Coturnix japonica: one gene and its partners. The main gene of each other region encodes a partner of the protein of the gene in region 3 in a complex. Links are inferred from orthologs where the notes say so. Each region holds a gene or a part of one and is shown on either strand. Other genes may lie near its edges.

Region 1 (5,468 bases), on a different chromosome or scaffold from region 3:
TTTAATTAGTGTTCAAGGCATATGGTGAATGAGAAAATAAGCTTATTTCATGCAAACAGAAATCGATGCAAATAACCTTTCTCCTCATATAAAAGGGATGACTTGAAACTCAATACATATTCAAGAAGGTTAAGTCATTACTGCATCACTTTAATATTAGTTAAAGGCCAACAAAGAAAACCGCTACTCTGTGTGTACTTACTCAGCAAGGATTGCTGTGTATGAAAGAAATAGCAATACTTTGTAGGTGAAAAATCCAAAGAAGCCTTGGTCCGTATCATGCTTTTTTTTTTGTTTAATCACAGAAAATAACCTTTTGGGTTCTGCCTTTGTGCAGGTAGTGGCTGGAAGTTCTCACAGCTGTCTGGCCTGGCCTGCAGAGGCACTTGGTATTTGTTGTTCCTTCTCACACATCTGTTTTGTGCTCCCTTAGTATGTTTTCAAATCCTTTGTTAAGAATCAACTTTTAGTAGTTTGCATAGCACCGAGTGTGAAGGATCCCGATCTCATTCAGGCCTCTGGGTGTTGCTGTAGAGCACAGAGTACATTTGTTTTCTGTAGTAATGGAAGTATTCCTTGAGGTATTTGGCCTTATGGAAGAAGGGGTTGGTGGAAGCTCGCAGACATGGGAATGGGGAGTTTGATAAATGAGGAGATTCGTGCACTGTTAAAGTGTATTCTTCCCATGCATTTTTCAGTCATGTGCTTTGATGCGTGCAACAGTGATTTCATAAATGAATTTAAGCCAAACTACGTCATGGCATTATCTTATCAAGTTGTCTGTGATTTTGCTTGGAGGTATGGTTAGTATTTCCTAACAGACTCTACCCACATGTGAATTATTTACGTGCTGGATGTTGTGTTTTCCTTACGCACTGTCACGCTGAGCTTGATGCTAATTTTGTTCCGCAGTACAGACCATGTCAATGGGTGCGTTTTCCGTTCTAATTACATTTTGTTCTCTGAACTGACTGGGTGTAACCATTTAGTCCTTTTATTTGCTGAATGAAATGCTCCTGTGTAAATTTTAAGTTCCCTTTAAAAAAATAATGGTGAAAGTTTTGGGTTTTTTAAATTATTTGCCCTCCCTGAGAGGGAAGTGCACAGAACAGTGCAAACCATACGTATGTATTTGAATCATATACATGCTTTTTTCCTCCTCCTGCTTGATAAGTGTAGGGGTGTGGGTTCTGCTGTATCACAACCTAAAGCGATTGCAAGAAGAAATGTTTAAGATGGTTACTTGAATTTGTGTACACTGCCCACCTGGTGGTTATGGAGTGAACTGTTACTTTAAAGAATAGTTTAAACAACAGCCATGTTTGGGGCAGGCTAATCTTGCAAAGAGAGCAGTACATATAACAGGAGTCTACTGTGTGATAAGGGGGAAAATTCAGCTCACTGACTAGATGTTTTAATGTGCGAACTCTAGGGAAATAACATATTGACTATTCTGTTGTGCGCAAGAAAATTGAAGAACCCTTTGCAGACAGAGGGCTTGCAAAGGATTCTTTCTGTTTCTCTTAACCAAAATCTGTGGCAAGATGTTTGAAATCAGCAGGACGCTTAATGCTGCTTTGTTAAATAATGAGGTAATATTTTGTCACTTTTTCTGGGCAGCATCTGTTTTTTCTCCTTTTTTTCCTATGTTTATGAAGGCTTCAGATTAATCTTCTGAAAGTAAGAGATTAAAAAAATCGTTCTTTGATTTATTATGGTTTTTTTTTTCCTTTCCTTTCGATGCTTTTGGAGAATTGGGTTGTCTTTTATTTGCGGTTTCAATCGGCTGCTGTTGCCTAGGACATTATGCCACGTAAGGCTTCTAAACTGCACAGAGTAGGTAGTTATTAACGCTGAATTGGCTTCTGGTATAGTCCATCTGGGCTCTGTATGAGAGAGCTTGCTAGCGGCTACTGATGCTAAGATACCCGCAACCTTTGGGATGTATGCGTGGTGGAGAGGGGCTCAGTGATATGAGATCACTTCTTTTAAGGGAAACTGTCATTAATGAGTCAAGAAACTGCTCATTTATGGTAAGGAGAGGGAGGAGGGGGGGTGGGGGGGCTGGGAAACAACCCTGTGATTTCATTTTGATATTGGATAAGCTGTTTAAGACAAGTTTCTATTTTGTGGGGATGGAAGACTGCATTAAAAATATGCTTGCTGGTGGATTCTGGAGGGGCTGTATTGAGAATTTGATGCTTTACGAATGTGCCACAACTGTGATGCCGTGGCCAGGCGCTTACCCTGAGAGATAAATGGTACTATTGGAAAGACGAGAGAATAAGGTTGACTTTTCTTTTCCAACAATAGGATTCTGCCTTTGTCTTTACGGAGGGGAGGCCTCTGAGGACGGTTGAGCGTTTGTTTTAGTGCTCCTCAGAAAGCCTGTGTGTGTGTGGGGGTGTTTGTGGGGAACGCGGTCGGTGTGCGGAGCACCTGGATTTATAGAGAAACGAAAGAGCTGATTTATTTTGTTAGCGGAGCAGTGTTCAATTATTGCTTCAGAAAAATGGCTGAATCGTGTGATATGCAGAAACCAGTTTATAGCAACCAAGTGAGCTCAACTTGGAAAAGACATGAAAAAATAATTTCTGGGTTTTCTTCTCTAATTGTTATTAACCCAGAAGAGACCATAAGTAAAAAAAATTTGCATTACAAATTTAACTTCAGTATTCGGTGTATATTTGCACGTGAATGTATGGTAATAAAGCGGCTCTGTAGCACTGTGATGCCGGTGTGTTTGAGTGGGTCACCTCTATATTTGAGTTGGGAAACGGATCTTCTGTGTGACTTTAATCTCTGCTAGTTTTTACCAAGCTAGAAATGTGCTCAAAAAGATGTATGGGGAGAGAAACCCTCCGCAGCATCCTTACATTGTTCCTATTTTAATTGAATTCAGTACTCATTCCACAGCCAGGCTGTGTGATGTCTCGTACATGCGCTTTTCTCTGTGCTGGGTCGGTTTGGAGCTGGGCTTTGTATCTGACTGTATTTAATACATTGTATTCATGTGTTCGGTGAGCGTGTGTACGACTGTGTACAATGTGAGGTGTACGGCATGTCGGCTCTGAGCTGAGCAGCTCCGAGGGGGCACATTGAGATTGAGAAATAAAGCGTAACTTGTAGAGCAGTGTCTGTCCAGCTGGGTGTTTTCAGAGGTGTGTGTAGTGGTTCGTTCAGAGCTGCCTTTCCTGCTCAGAAGCAGCTCTGTGTGCTCTTAGTGTGGTGCTCACCCACTGCTCCGCTTTCACCCCAGGTTTAGGAGCGCTCCGTTAGTACTGAACTATGAGGGACCATCTTTACTGCCAGGAATGGTGGAATGAGGCGATCCCTGCGTGCGTGTGGAGCTTTGCGCTTTAGTGGGGGTGAAAGCCAACTCCAGGTCAGCTGTGATGAAAGGATGCCGTGCTGGCTCGGCCAACCTGCGAGCAAGGAATCTCAGAATATGGACTAGGGATCTCAGGATGTGGAATGGGGATCTCAGGAATATGGGATAGGGATCTTGGAATATGGGATGGGAATCTCAGAATATGGGATAGGGATCTCAGAATGTGGAATGGGAATCTCAGAATATGGGATAGGAATGCGCTGCTGTGTGACAGCTGTCACTAACCCGCCGCTCTCGGGGCGGTAGATGCGCTGCGTGGGGCGGCTGTTCTGTCAGCGGAGGCCGCGTGTGTTTGCGCTCACGGTGAACTCGGGCACGCTCCGCTCAGCACAATGCCGGCCGAGCGCCGGGCCGCCCCCAGCCCCATGGAGGGGCGTTGCGGTGCGGCCGTTGGGGCGCAGGGGGCAGCAGGCCTCGAGCCCGGCTCCCCTCCGGGCGGCGGTGCTGGGAGGGCCGAGTCGAGGCGGTGAGGGGCCGCGCTGGGCCTTAACGAGCGGCGCGGTTCGGAACCCCGCCCGGTGCCGCTGCGGGCGGAGGTCAGCGGCTCATTAACACCGTCAATCTGGCGGCGGCTCATTTCAATAGCACCTGATGTCGCGACGCCTCCCCGCGCGGCGGCGGCCAATGAGCGCGCGTTCGCCGCTGACAGATGGGGCCATAAATGGGCGCGGCGCGGGGCCGGCGGCAGCAGCGCCAGCAGCGGCAGCGCCAGCAGCGAGCGGGCAGCGCGGCTACACCGCCCGCCCCGCGCCCACAGCGCCCGCTGCCCACACTGTGCTTGGTGGATCTTAACAAATACCAATAAAAGTCAGGTCCCCGAAAACCTTAGCCAGTCTGTAGAAGAGTTGAAGCCTTTCAAGACCCAATATTTGCCATTAAGAATGGTTATGGTAGGTATTGGTAGATTTAAGCTCGGTCGCAGCGGGTGTCTGTAGAGGTAGACGTAGAGGCTGACATAGATTTCCCCAAACGTGCATCGCTCTCCGCCTGTCTCACACGGGGGTGGCTTGCTGTGCTTGTCCATGATCTCTCCCTCTCTCTTCCCTCTCTCTCTCTCTCTCCCTCCCTCCCTTTCATATTTAATGTCTGCGCGTCCTTTAATAAAGGATGTACTCTGGTTGCGAGGTGGCGGCGGTGCGCTCGGAGCGGAGAGCAGCGCTGATGCCGGGCGGTGCGTGGCTTTGTGCGAGCGGGGGGTGCGTGCACGGCGGCGTTCGGAGATGCGAAATCCTCGAGGGGGGGTGGGGGGAAAAAGGAGGGGGGGGGGAGGAGAGGGGAGGACAAAAAAAAAAAGCCTCGAGATTGGTAATTTTCTTTTGGTGGACTGCGCAATAGGTATGGTAATTTTAAAAGCGAGTGATTTATATGAGCTTCGGTAAATGCTGCATATTGTATTTCAAAGAGTTTCCTGTCATGACCTCATAAAAAGAGGAGGAGGCTGTGTGTGTTGCAGCGCCTAGTCTATGTCGATTTTGTTGCATCGCTGGGCAGCCGCGCTGTAAGAAGGAATGTCAGCTTTTACATAACGCTCTCTTTGCTTCCGACTCGGTGAGGGGCTCTGAGGGTCCATCTTGGCGATCCCAGATGGAGTGGAATGGCCTGAAGATGGTAAGTGAGCTCGGCGCCTCGCCCCGCCGCACCGCACCGCGCGGGGCTCTTTGTTCGGGAGCCGCCACCGCGATGGGCAGCGCCGCGTCGGGCCGGGAGCAACGCGGGGGGTGCGGGTGGCCCCGCGTGGGGCCGAGCGTGGGGTGTCAGGTAGTGCGGGGCTGCGGGCTGTGCGCTTTGTGCATCTTTATATATATATATATATATATATATATATATTATTTTTTTTTTTTCTCCTTCTTCTTCCTCCATACCGAGGAGAAGGGAAAAGCCATATTTCTGTGCGCGGATAGTAATTCTATTTTTAGCCCGCACTGGCAGCCGAGGGACCCGAGCCGCGCTCTCCCCCTTTTGTGCTCGCCTTGTGCAAAATGGCACGATCGCATCCCGGGGGCGGGGGGCCGCGCACAATGAACCCCCCGCCCGGTCCCCTCGCCGCCGCCACGGAGAGCGGCCGGGGAAACAAAGC
Region 2 (4,820 bases), on a different chromosome or scaffold from region 3:
CCACACAGCAATTCCTAGAGGGCCAAAGGAACACTCTGGGCAGCGAAGGGTTGTGCACAAGTATTGCAAAGACAAACCTACCACATCTCTAGTCTGTTTAAAATACACAGCTCTGCTCTTTCCAACAGCAGTGACAGCTGCCCCAACAGCAAGATCTGGTGATGTTATTATAGTCTCTGAACACATCAGTGCAGCAGCAGATCCCACCTGGCATTGCAACTGGCATTCTGTGATGGTACATAGGACACCACTCTGCCCTTCAAGTCTGAGAACACATCAACACATCAGAAGTTCACAGCCTGTTAACTTTAAGAAATGGGGTTTGAAAGCATTCAGATGGTTTTCTGTCTCCCAAGATAAGCTATTAATACCTCACCACTCACACACCCTTTAAACCACCTCCCACACAACATGCAAACAAGATTATCAGGATCTTAAGAGAGTTGTTCTTCCACATTACCAGCCAAGGGAAGAATGGCACTGCATGGAAATGAAATAATCACGGAGATAATTTGCGCATGCTTTAGCAGGAAGTAATTAGGGAAACTGCCAGTGTGTCATTCGCTCTTCGCCTCAGGCAGCACGTAAAGAAAGAACTAAAAATACACTTTGATTGAGAAGATTGTCAGATGCGGAATCAGAAGCTGCTGGGACCAACTCATAATCTTCACCATTCAGATTAAACCAGAGGTTCCAACAGGGAAATGTGGGGGTTCTGCTCAATTGAAATCTCCTTGTGGCATTTTCTATCCAAAAAGAGCTTCTGGAATTTAAACATCAGACGTTACCTTTGCTGTAGGTATCCCAGCCTAAGTGCAGTCAGAGACAACCAATCACACCTTCACCATTAAAACACACAATGAATTGAAGACTTCAGAAAACAGATAGCGTTTCCAACAGCACAGTCAGTGCACAAACCAGAAGAGCATGAGGCTACTGAGCTTTAAACAAAAAAAGCCAATATGAAGTCTCATAGGTCTTTCCAGCATAGTTGGTTATTTGGTAAGCACAAAAACACAACCATAAAGACATCCTGAAGTGTCACCCCATGTTCCATTTCAGGTGCTGGCAGCATAACTTGCTTCTGAGAAGTGTTTCTGTACAAGATACCCAAGAAAAAGGTTTCTGTAAATCTTTTATTTCACCTGTCACCTGACAAGATCACTCTCCGGGTCTTACTGTTTAACATAGCCAGTATCATTAACACAAAACCAAGCATACACTTCACAGGCTTCAGTTCTTCACTGACATTCCTCAGTCAGTTCTCAGCTTAGATGAAAGTGAGCCAGAATTGTCTGACTCCAAAACTACACAAAAGTTGGGTTTTTTTCCCCCACGTTTATGGATGCTTTCACAGATTTAAGAGCAATGGAAACTTTTATTAACAACACCTCCACAGCTGGGAAGTGCAACCTGTGACTGCAGTCTTGGATTTAACATCAAGAACACCAGAAACAACATATGAGAATTAACACAAACAAGGACAGTTCAGTGAAACAGTTCTGTCGCACACCTTCACTCGATGGCTGCTCCTAATGAGAAAAGCTGTTTCTTCTTTCCTCCCCCCCACAAAGGAAAATAAATACCAGTTATGACCACAAGAGGAAGCAGTATGCATTTCTAGCACTTCTGCCTGGGAGAGGGCACACACAAACAGCTACTGCTGTTTCATTTCAGCTCTCCTCCACTTCATAGAGACATCTGAGAAACATTCAGGAGGGAAATGACGCAACACTAAAGACGAAGCCAAAACAGAACAAAACCCAACTACTGACATTCAGTACAGCCAGGTTCAACCACTATGTTTGGCAAGTAAGTGACAGTAAGTTACTGCTCTGTAACAGGTAATACCTACCCACCCTTCGCAGTAGGGCAGGTTTGCTCTAGCTTTAGAGCAAGCAAAGCACAAGAAGTCTGTACTGCATTTGCACAGAGGTTATATCAATAAACCAAAGAAACATGGAAACAGTAAACCCTAGCACAGATAAAGAAGCTTACTACATAGTTCTTGTATATAACCAAGAATGCTGAGGCCTGGTGTAAACTCAAGACTGCCATTGCTATCCAGATATTTACACAGAAATATAGTGCTGTTTTGATCCTAAAATCCCCATAATTTATATTTATTTTTTAAATCAGCTTCAGCTTCTTTAGGAGTGCTGGAGAGTGTTCCATGTAGTAATCCAGGACAGAGAGGCACCTTCTGTGCTTATGCCATCTATCAGGTCTGGCAGAAGCAGGGAATTAAATTAATGCCTAAATGGCAAAACTATCACAGTAGAGAGAAACGTGGAGAACATGACAGAAGTACTTCTATAACATCAGTGATGGAAACTGCCCAGCCTCAAAAGCAAAATTCCCAAACTCTGCATCCATGAAATACTTGGTTTTGATTACTCAAACACCATCAAACTGAAGAAGAACAGACAGCATTACAGACTTGAGCTATAACCACCTCTACCTGCAAACCTAGCAACAGAAGGAAGGTACATCTTCCCCATGGAAGAACTCCAGCGTACTCTTGACTTGATAAAGCAAATCTAGACCTTTTTTATTATTTTTTTTTTAAACAATTTGCCAAGACTGGAATGAGAGATAAATAGAAGGCACAACAATTTTGCTTTTTTTTTTTTATACAAATACAAACTAAACATGAAAAAAAACCTCCCTATTTCAATAAAAAAATTCCACAAGTTCAGGAAAAGTGTTTTGAGAGTCAAGTTCTAAACATTTAAAACCTATCCCACAATCCAAAATTTTTCCAAAGTGGTAAAACAGCAGTTAGAATTCTTTTCCGTGATCATGTATCAAAAAAAGAAAGACAAGATTCTATGGATACTCATTATTCCACTTTTTTTTTTCTCTCTCTTACAGCGCCACAAAGAGAAAAGGTGAACGTCAATTTTCAGGGTGGCAACAACTCCAGATCAGATGATGTTCGTATGACCCTCAAGGGATAAATCAAAGTTTTATTTTCCTGACCTTGAAATACTTGCCAAGTACTATGTTTTCCTATAGGCTCTTGAACGCATGCATGTGAAATATTATTCCACTGACTGAAATGCACCCAAATTCAGTAGAGAGGGGAGGAAAAAAAAAAAAAGAAAACAAAGACGTTCTTCTAGGAAAGACCACTGGTACCAAAAAAATCCAGTCCGTAAGTTTGAGGTGAGCAAGAAAATTCAGTTCTTTTCTTTTTTGTTTTTAAAATCCACTTTTCCTAAAGCGTTGTTCCACAAAGCTGGAATCTGGGACAAGGACTAGAAAAAAATAAATCAATCACAAAACCATAACACAAACAAAAAGGGGCCAAAATAGTATCAAACGTAGCAGTCTATAACAGGCTAGGGCCACATTCCAAGATACCCAAGGCTGAAATTCACAAATCTGCAGGTAAAAAGGGTTTGCACCACCGTGTCAACATCCACGATGCATTCACTGGCGTTGCCCGATCCCCCTTCCAGCTCCAAATCCTGGCTTCTGGGACATTCCTCCACGTGGAGGCCCTCGAATCCCACCTCCCAGCCCCCCGCGAGTGCCTCCAGGTCCGCGTGGTCTGTTATCTCTGCGGTCACCCTCCCTGGCAGCTCTTGTTTTCTTCTCTTCCACATTCAAGCGCACCTCTCCCCTGAACATGATGGGCTGTAACAGAAGAGAAAATATTCTTGTTAAGAATTCAGGCTCCAAAAGTCAGGCAGATTTCTGCGACCTCCTCTTATCCTCTTCTTCCCATCCAAGGAAAGAAAAGCATTCATAACTTAGAATATATCTGTGGTCAAACTATATAACTTGTTTCGTGCTTGGCTATAGAAGATGAAAAGTGGCTGGAGATGTGTAAAAGTGACACTTTTGAAAATGTGATAGAAAGGATAATGCTGAGAATTCCAATACCTCTTAAAAAAAACCTGACCTACTAGCAGGGTAACCTGATCCCACTAATACACACCAATTCAGTCTGTCACCAGAGTCCCAAACAGCTTTATCCTATGGCTTGAAGAATGGCAGGCCCTCTCTAACACATTGCTATGCAAGCCAGTGAAGACCTTCACTTTGGTCTACTGTTTCAGGACACATTTTTGCCCAAAGCACTGGGTCTCCTTGCAAAGCAAAAGGATTTAGTGCTCCTCAAAGCAAAGTAGGAGGCACGTAAAATTGCTTTCAAAGGTTTAAACAGGTATTTTTAAAACAATTGAATTTTAGAAAAGCATGTCCAATCACTATTACTTAAGCATTTACATGAGCCTGCATGAAAGATACCCTAAATGAGTAAGTACTGAAAGCCTATTACACATTCCACATCTAAGAATTCAGCATCCACTTTCTGGCTCCAGTTAGAACAAGCAATTGCCATCCACAGCAAGGAGGATGGAACTAAATGATCTTTAAAGGTTCCTCCCAATCTAAGCCATTCTATGATAAGCTACCTTTCAATTTAAGGCCAGAAATAGAGGGGACAATACAGTATTAAAGAAAGGATGCCACTACCTGCTGAAAAACCATGCTGCAAGGGAGCACATGGCACAGTTTAGATGCATCCAGATTCACTGCCTACCACCATGCCATACACACTCAAGGGAGGCACATCTTCCATGAACAATCACTGCTGATAAACTATGCAGGTACTTTTCCTTTGTTACAAGGAACTCTTTTCAACCTGTACATTAGTATAGTTTCTCCCTCTCAACCCCTTCTGTCAACAACTGAATAAGTAAAGATATTACTTGTGCACAGGACCAGACTGTACCTTTTTGTGTTGGAAGCACCTTGAAAAACACTGCATGTTATTAACAGAGCAACAAGCCTGACTGAAAGTTTATTTA
Region 3 (5,256 bases):
GGTTGTGTTACCCGGAGAAGGTGCTCTGTAAACCAGCAACAACTATTTGGGTCCAGATTAGAACCTGGATATGAAGCAGGCAGCAGTTGTGCCTACTGTGTCTGTGGGTGAACACTCCATTTCCCAGCCACTTTGGGAGCTGCAGGAGATTTATTCCCAAATTTCATTGCTTTCCTCTTCCCACCTGTGAATGTGGAGCTGAGGTTACACCCAAAAACCCCTTTGGTGGATTCAGTTTGTTGCTTTGAGGAGAGGACACCAAACTGTGAACAACATCTCTGTGTTTGGAAAGCCAATACCCCAGGACAGCAGAATGCATCGGACAGAGGAGGAAGAGCTGAAGGCTCTTCACTTTAAATTTCCCTGATCTTTATACGAGTTTCCTACGTGGCCGAAGCACTTGAAAGCACTGCAACACCCCTGGGTAGCAGCGCCTATTTCTAAAGCTTTACACTCGAATTCTACCACCAAATTTATTTACTAACAAATTCTCCACGTGGCTCTTCCTCCCAGCTTTGCCATAGAGGAGAGATGGACGATGAGAACCCGAAGAACAGCTCAGCACTGCGGGAAAGGAGGGGGGGGTTCGTCCCGACCGCACTATAGCGCTGTGCCATCCCGGGTGGGGTATGGGGAAGGGGGGGGGGGCACAATGCTTGTATATTGCTCGGTTTAAACGATCCCGGAACGCTTCTTTCTATGGAGGAAAAATTATTATTTAAATCGGGAAATTCATTCGTTTTTAAAATATATTTTTTAAATTTTTTTTTCTAATTTATTTTATTTTATTTTTTTTGATCGGGGGGACGGGGGAAAGCGGAACCTCCGGCCCGGCGGGCAAGGCAGGCAGGAGCGCGTTACATTTAATTGCAGGCACGGAGGGGCCGGCCCGTGCCTCTACATGCACGGGAGGGAGTCACGGCCGCCCCCGCCCCTCCGCACCCGGCAGCCGCCCGCACCGAGCCCCCGGAGCACCGGGGTCCCCCCGCCCGCCCCGTCGGGGGAGGCAGCAGGAAGGCGGCCGGGTGGGTGGTGCCGGTTGGGGGGTGGTGGTGGTGATGGGGGGGGGGGGGGTCGCTGCTATTTTCAATCCATCTCGAACCTAAAAATAAAAAGCCTCCAGAAAAGGCGAAGAGGGAAAGAGGAGGGAGGGTTTCTAGGGACGGGGGGGATGGGGGGCTGCTTCTCTCTGCCGACGGGACGCGTCGTCTCCCCCCCCCCCCCCCCCCCTGTGTCTCGGGGGGAGCGATCCCGCTGCACCGTGGGGCCCTTTTGTGCCAGGAGGAGCCTTCCCCCTTCCCCGAAGGCTTCCGCAGGGCTGCACATGAAGGGCTTAAAACAATACCGGGGACAATAGCCCTCCCCGGGGGCTCCTCCGCTCACCCCGCCGGGTCGGGCCGTTCCCCTGCAGCCCCGCTCCCCTGGCGCCAGGGGACCTCCCGGCCCCTTTGATGCTGAAGTTGGATTTTTTTTTTCTTCTTCTTCTTTTTTTCTTTCTTTTTTTATTTTCTTTTTTTTTCTTTTTTTTTTTTTACACCCAGAAAAATCCCATTCAGGCACCGGGGGGAAGGGGGGGTGGGGGATGGGAGAGATGTAGGGGGAGGGGCGCGATGGGGGCTGGAGGCTGCACAGATGGGAAAGTGCCTCCGACGGGACGGGACGGGCGGGGCCCGAAGGGTGGAGTGGGGGGGTGATGAGAAGGGGGGGATGGTGGTGGTGGTAGTGAAGAGAACACGGAGTGGGTGCGCTCCCCGATCCGAAGAGGGGTGTGTGTGTGTGTATGTGTGGAGGTAAATAACGTAGTATTTAAATTAAAATAAATAATTAAGTGGAAGCTGCCCCCTCCCCCCCCCCTCCCCTTCCCTCCCACCCCCATCGTCCGGCCCCTCCCCCCCGGGGGCTGGGCCCTCCTGCATCACCACGTGGCTTCCTCCCGCAAACATTTTCACTCATTTTCCAGGTCGGTTTTATTTAGAGGCGGTGCCCGGCTGCCCAAAGGCGTCCGGTGACACTCCGGTGCCGCTCCGCCGCTTTGGGGGCCCCCGCAGCCGGCGCCGCCACCGCCTCCTTCCCCGCAGCCGTCGCCTATTGCAGCCACCCCCCTCTTCTTTAGGACCCCCCACCTCTAACAGCAGCAGCCGCCGCCGCGCCCCTCTACGAGGAAAACTCCACCAAACGACCAAAAAAAAAAAAAAAAAAAAAAAAAACAAAAAAAACCCCACCCCGAAACAAAAAAAAAAGCAAAGGAGGGGGGAGGGAGTGTGCAAAGAAAAGGACCACCGAGCTTCAAACCCGGCTGTGGGGTGGCAGACGGCGGCTGCTGTCCGACGGTGCGGGCGTACGGTGGGAGCCCCCCCGGCAGCCGCGCTCCGAGCCCCGGCGCGCCGCCACCGCCCGCCCGCCGCCCCCCGCCGGCAGCCACCATGAACAAGCTGTATATTGGGAACCTAAATGAGAGCGTGACTCCGGCCGACTTGGAAAAAGTCTTCAACGACCATAAGATTTCTTTCAGCGGGCAGTTTTTGGTTAAGTCCGGTTATGCCTTTGTGGACTGCCCCGACGAGCAATGGGCCATGAAAGCCATCGAAACTTTTTCGGGTAAGCGGTGTCCTTCGGTTCTTTCGATCGGAGAGTTGCGGGATCCGGTCGGGATTCGGGTGGGGAATAGGGGGGGGTTCGGGCCGTTACGCTCCGTCGGGGTTTGTATCAGCGAGCGGGGCAGACCCCGCTTCTACCCCATTAACAGCGAGCACTTGGAGGGGGGAGAGAAGGAGAGGGGTCCCCACTGTTCCCAATGGCTTCGTGGGGGTTACACGGTGCCCGTCCCGGTGGTGTTCGATGCGGGGGTCCCGTCGCGACAGTGGGGTGGGACTTTGGCCATTTTGATTTCAAACTGGGTTTCCTGGGGCATGTGATGCGCAGAGGAGCGCGAAGGTCGCCATGCTGCTCGCAAGACGGAGGGGGGGGAGAGTGGGAAGGGAAGGAAGGGGGGGGGTGGAAAGAAAAGCTCCCCGGGAAACAGTGAATTTTTGAAAACGTTGGAATATTTTCCCCTCGCCTAAAGCTGCTCCCTCCGGGCTCTCCCCATTGCTGCTCCCCTCTTCTTTTCCCTTCCCTCCCCCCCCCAATTAATATATAAACCGGCGGTGTGGAAATCCGCCCCCATTTTCCAAGAGAAATCCATTCGTAGCGTGGAGTTAAACAATTTTTGAGCCCCTTTTTAATGGGGATGAGGAATGATCTGGCCGGAGTTGTTGTGAACGGCTCAAACGCGTGGAATTCGAGGGGGGAAAAAAAAATTGATCTCAATATATTCTGCCTCGTTTTCTTTCGCTCGGAGCAGAGCTGAATGAAGGACGGGATTAAATATTCCTAAGGAACATTGTTCAGACGGCGAACTCATTGCTCCGCATTAGAAGTCAGCCTTATATTTAATATAGCACACTTATGATCACACGCACACACGAAAAAGCCTTTTTTAATGCAGCTTGTAGTGATTGGAATGAAATGGGAAGTTTTACATGATAGAATGTTACCCAAAGCTTTCTGACCACCCCACCCAGATCATACAAAACAGCCACATTTTGTTTTTAGGGAAAGTGGAGCTGCATGGAAAACAGCTAGAGATTGAACACTCAGTACCTAAAAAGCAAAGGTAATACGGTGTTTTAATTACTTTTTCTTTATGTTTTATTTTTTGGAGGGGGGGAGGAGGGGGAAATAATAACGTAAGAGGAAGGAGGCAAAAAAATTATATCCAAATATGTGCATGTGGAAGGAGATATGGTGGTGGTTTGGCTTTGGGTATGGCCCAGCGAGGTGAGGAACGGCTCTGAGGATCAGCGTTCCCTTTCGTATCTTTAGTGTATTTTTAAAGGAAACTTTTCTTTGGGATTAAGTTTTGCTTCAGTTTGTTTGTTAGGAAAAAATAAGACCAACAACCCCAAAAAACAACCCTGGGTCCCGACGATTCGCCTTCCATTCACCCAAGTGATGAATGGCGTTTGGGGTTGGAATTTTCAAACTTGTGGCACTGGAAGAATTTCCCAGTGTTGCTCCATGAGAAGGACCCCAAAACCTTTTGTTATTTCCAAGTTTTTAAACACCCTCTTTGCTTATTTTGTCATTTACGGGTGAAATTTGCCTGGGATGGAGGGCGAGGGTTTAAAAACGAACATCAGTAATTAAATAAAAATGGGGCTGGTTGCGTGTTGGTGTGAGGTTTTCAGCCCGGCTGTGTGGGGTGCTGGTTTAGCTCCTTGTTGCCCCTCAACTTGTTGTTTTTTAGGGCTGGAACCCCATTTCTTCATGCTTTCCCCAGGCGTTGCGGCCCAGCTCGGCCTACCCAGCCCTCCCCATCTTCTTGGCCCTTTGTTGCTGAGGGCGCGCGGGACGCTGGGCCTGGAGGGCCCTGAGGGTTCAGGCAGTGAACTGCTGGGCCCAGGGGGGATTCACTGTTGTGTGTGGGGGTCTTTGGGTTGATCTTGATCCCTTCCCTAGAGCTGGGTGAGCTCTCCTCAGGGCCTGGTGCCCGCGCTGGGCCATGCAGCCGCTCCGCCACGTGATGGGGCGGCCGCCCCGGCGCTCAACATGGTGTAGAAGGAAACTCTTCCTTCCCCAAACTCTTGTTTTTTTTCTGCTGGCTGAGGACCCCTTTGGGGAGCCTGTGTAGACCTGGCCCCACTGGGAGGCTGTGGGGTTTGGCAGCAATCCTTTCCTTGCAGGGGGCCATGCCCCGCGGTGGAGCCGACCCTAAAGGCAGAACTCCATTTAATAATGTCCCCTGTAGGGTTTTCCAGACCCTCCTTGTGAAATGGGGATCGATATCAGTCATTACAACGCTCAGAATCTCCCTTTGGCTCCAGTATCAATGAATCTAAGTGTGTTATTGGAAAGGCAATTACCCTACGAAGGGTAACGTAATAATGCTCAAAAATAAATCAGAAAAAATAAAAAGGGGAGGGGGATGCATCACGATTTCTTAATTATTTGTAGTCCTTTTGGTGATCAATGGGTTGGGGGAGCAGAGAAGATCTCAGAGTATTTCCTTGCTCCCCTCTTTTCCCTCCTCTGACTTTTGCTAAGAGCACTCCGGGAGAAATTCAATGGAAATGTAAATATTTCTTTGGCGTCTGTAATTCAAAGAAATGCTGGGTGAAACTTTACAATGGGTGGAAGCAAAGGGAAGGTTCGTTAGCGTGGTTTAATAACCAGGAGAAGTGCAGTTCATTACGTCTGGTTGCTAAATCCTGAGGC

Evidence for each region.
Region 1: IGF2BP1 (region 3) and ELAVL4 share a complex: the UniProt entries of both Homo sapiens proteins name them as parts of the TAU mRNP complex. The link is inferred for Coturnix japonica from reciprocal best matches to the Homo sapiens genes IGF2BP1 and ELAVL4.
Region 2: IGF2BP1 (region 3) and G3BP1 share a complex: the UniProt entries of both Homo sapiens proteins name them as parts of the TAU mRNP complex. The link is inferred for Coturnix japonica from reciprocal best matches to the Homo sapiens genes IGF2BP1 and G3BP1.

Annotation. Positions count from the first base shown.
Region 1 is NC_029523.1:21,013,957-21,019,424, forward strand, and holds the start of ELAVL4 (ELAV-like protein 4), read left to right. Parts: upstream 1-1,856; 5' UTR 1,857-1,916; coding exon 1,917-2,033; intron 2,034-3,863; exon of another isoform or gene 3,864-4,272; coding exon of another isoform or gene 4,273-4,281; intron 4,282-4,442; exon of another isoform or gene 4,443-4,473; coding exon of another isoform or gene 4,474-4,587; intron 4,588-4,710; exon of another isoform or gene 4,711-4,975; coding exon of another isoform or gene 4,976-4,999; intron 5,000-5,468. UniProt on the Homo sapiens protein: RNA-binding protein that is involved in the post-transcriptional regulation of mRNAs. Plays a role in the regulation of mRNA stability, alternative splicing and translation.
Region 2 is NC_029528.1:5,179,425-5,184,244, reverse strand, and holds the end of G3BP1 (ras GTPase-activating protein-binding protein 1), read right to left. Parts: intron 3,643-4,820; coding exon 3,436-3,642; 3' UTR 1,359-3,435; downstream 1-1,358. UniProt on the Homo sapiens protein: Protein involved in various processes, such as stress granule formation and innate immunity. Plays an essential role in stress granule formation.
Region 3 is NC_029542.1:3,036,603-3,041,858, reverse strand, and holds the start of IGF2BP1 (insulin-like growth factor 2 mRNA-binding protein 1), read left to right. Parts: upstream 1-1,936; 5' UTR 1,937-2,423; coding exon 2,424-2,598; intron 2,599-3,594; coding exon 3,595-3,655; intron 3,656-5,256. UniProt on the Homo sapiens protein: RNA-binding factor that recruits target transcripts to cytoplasmic protein-RNA complexes (mRNPs). This transcript 'caging' into mRNPs allows mRNA transport and transient storage.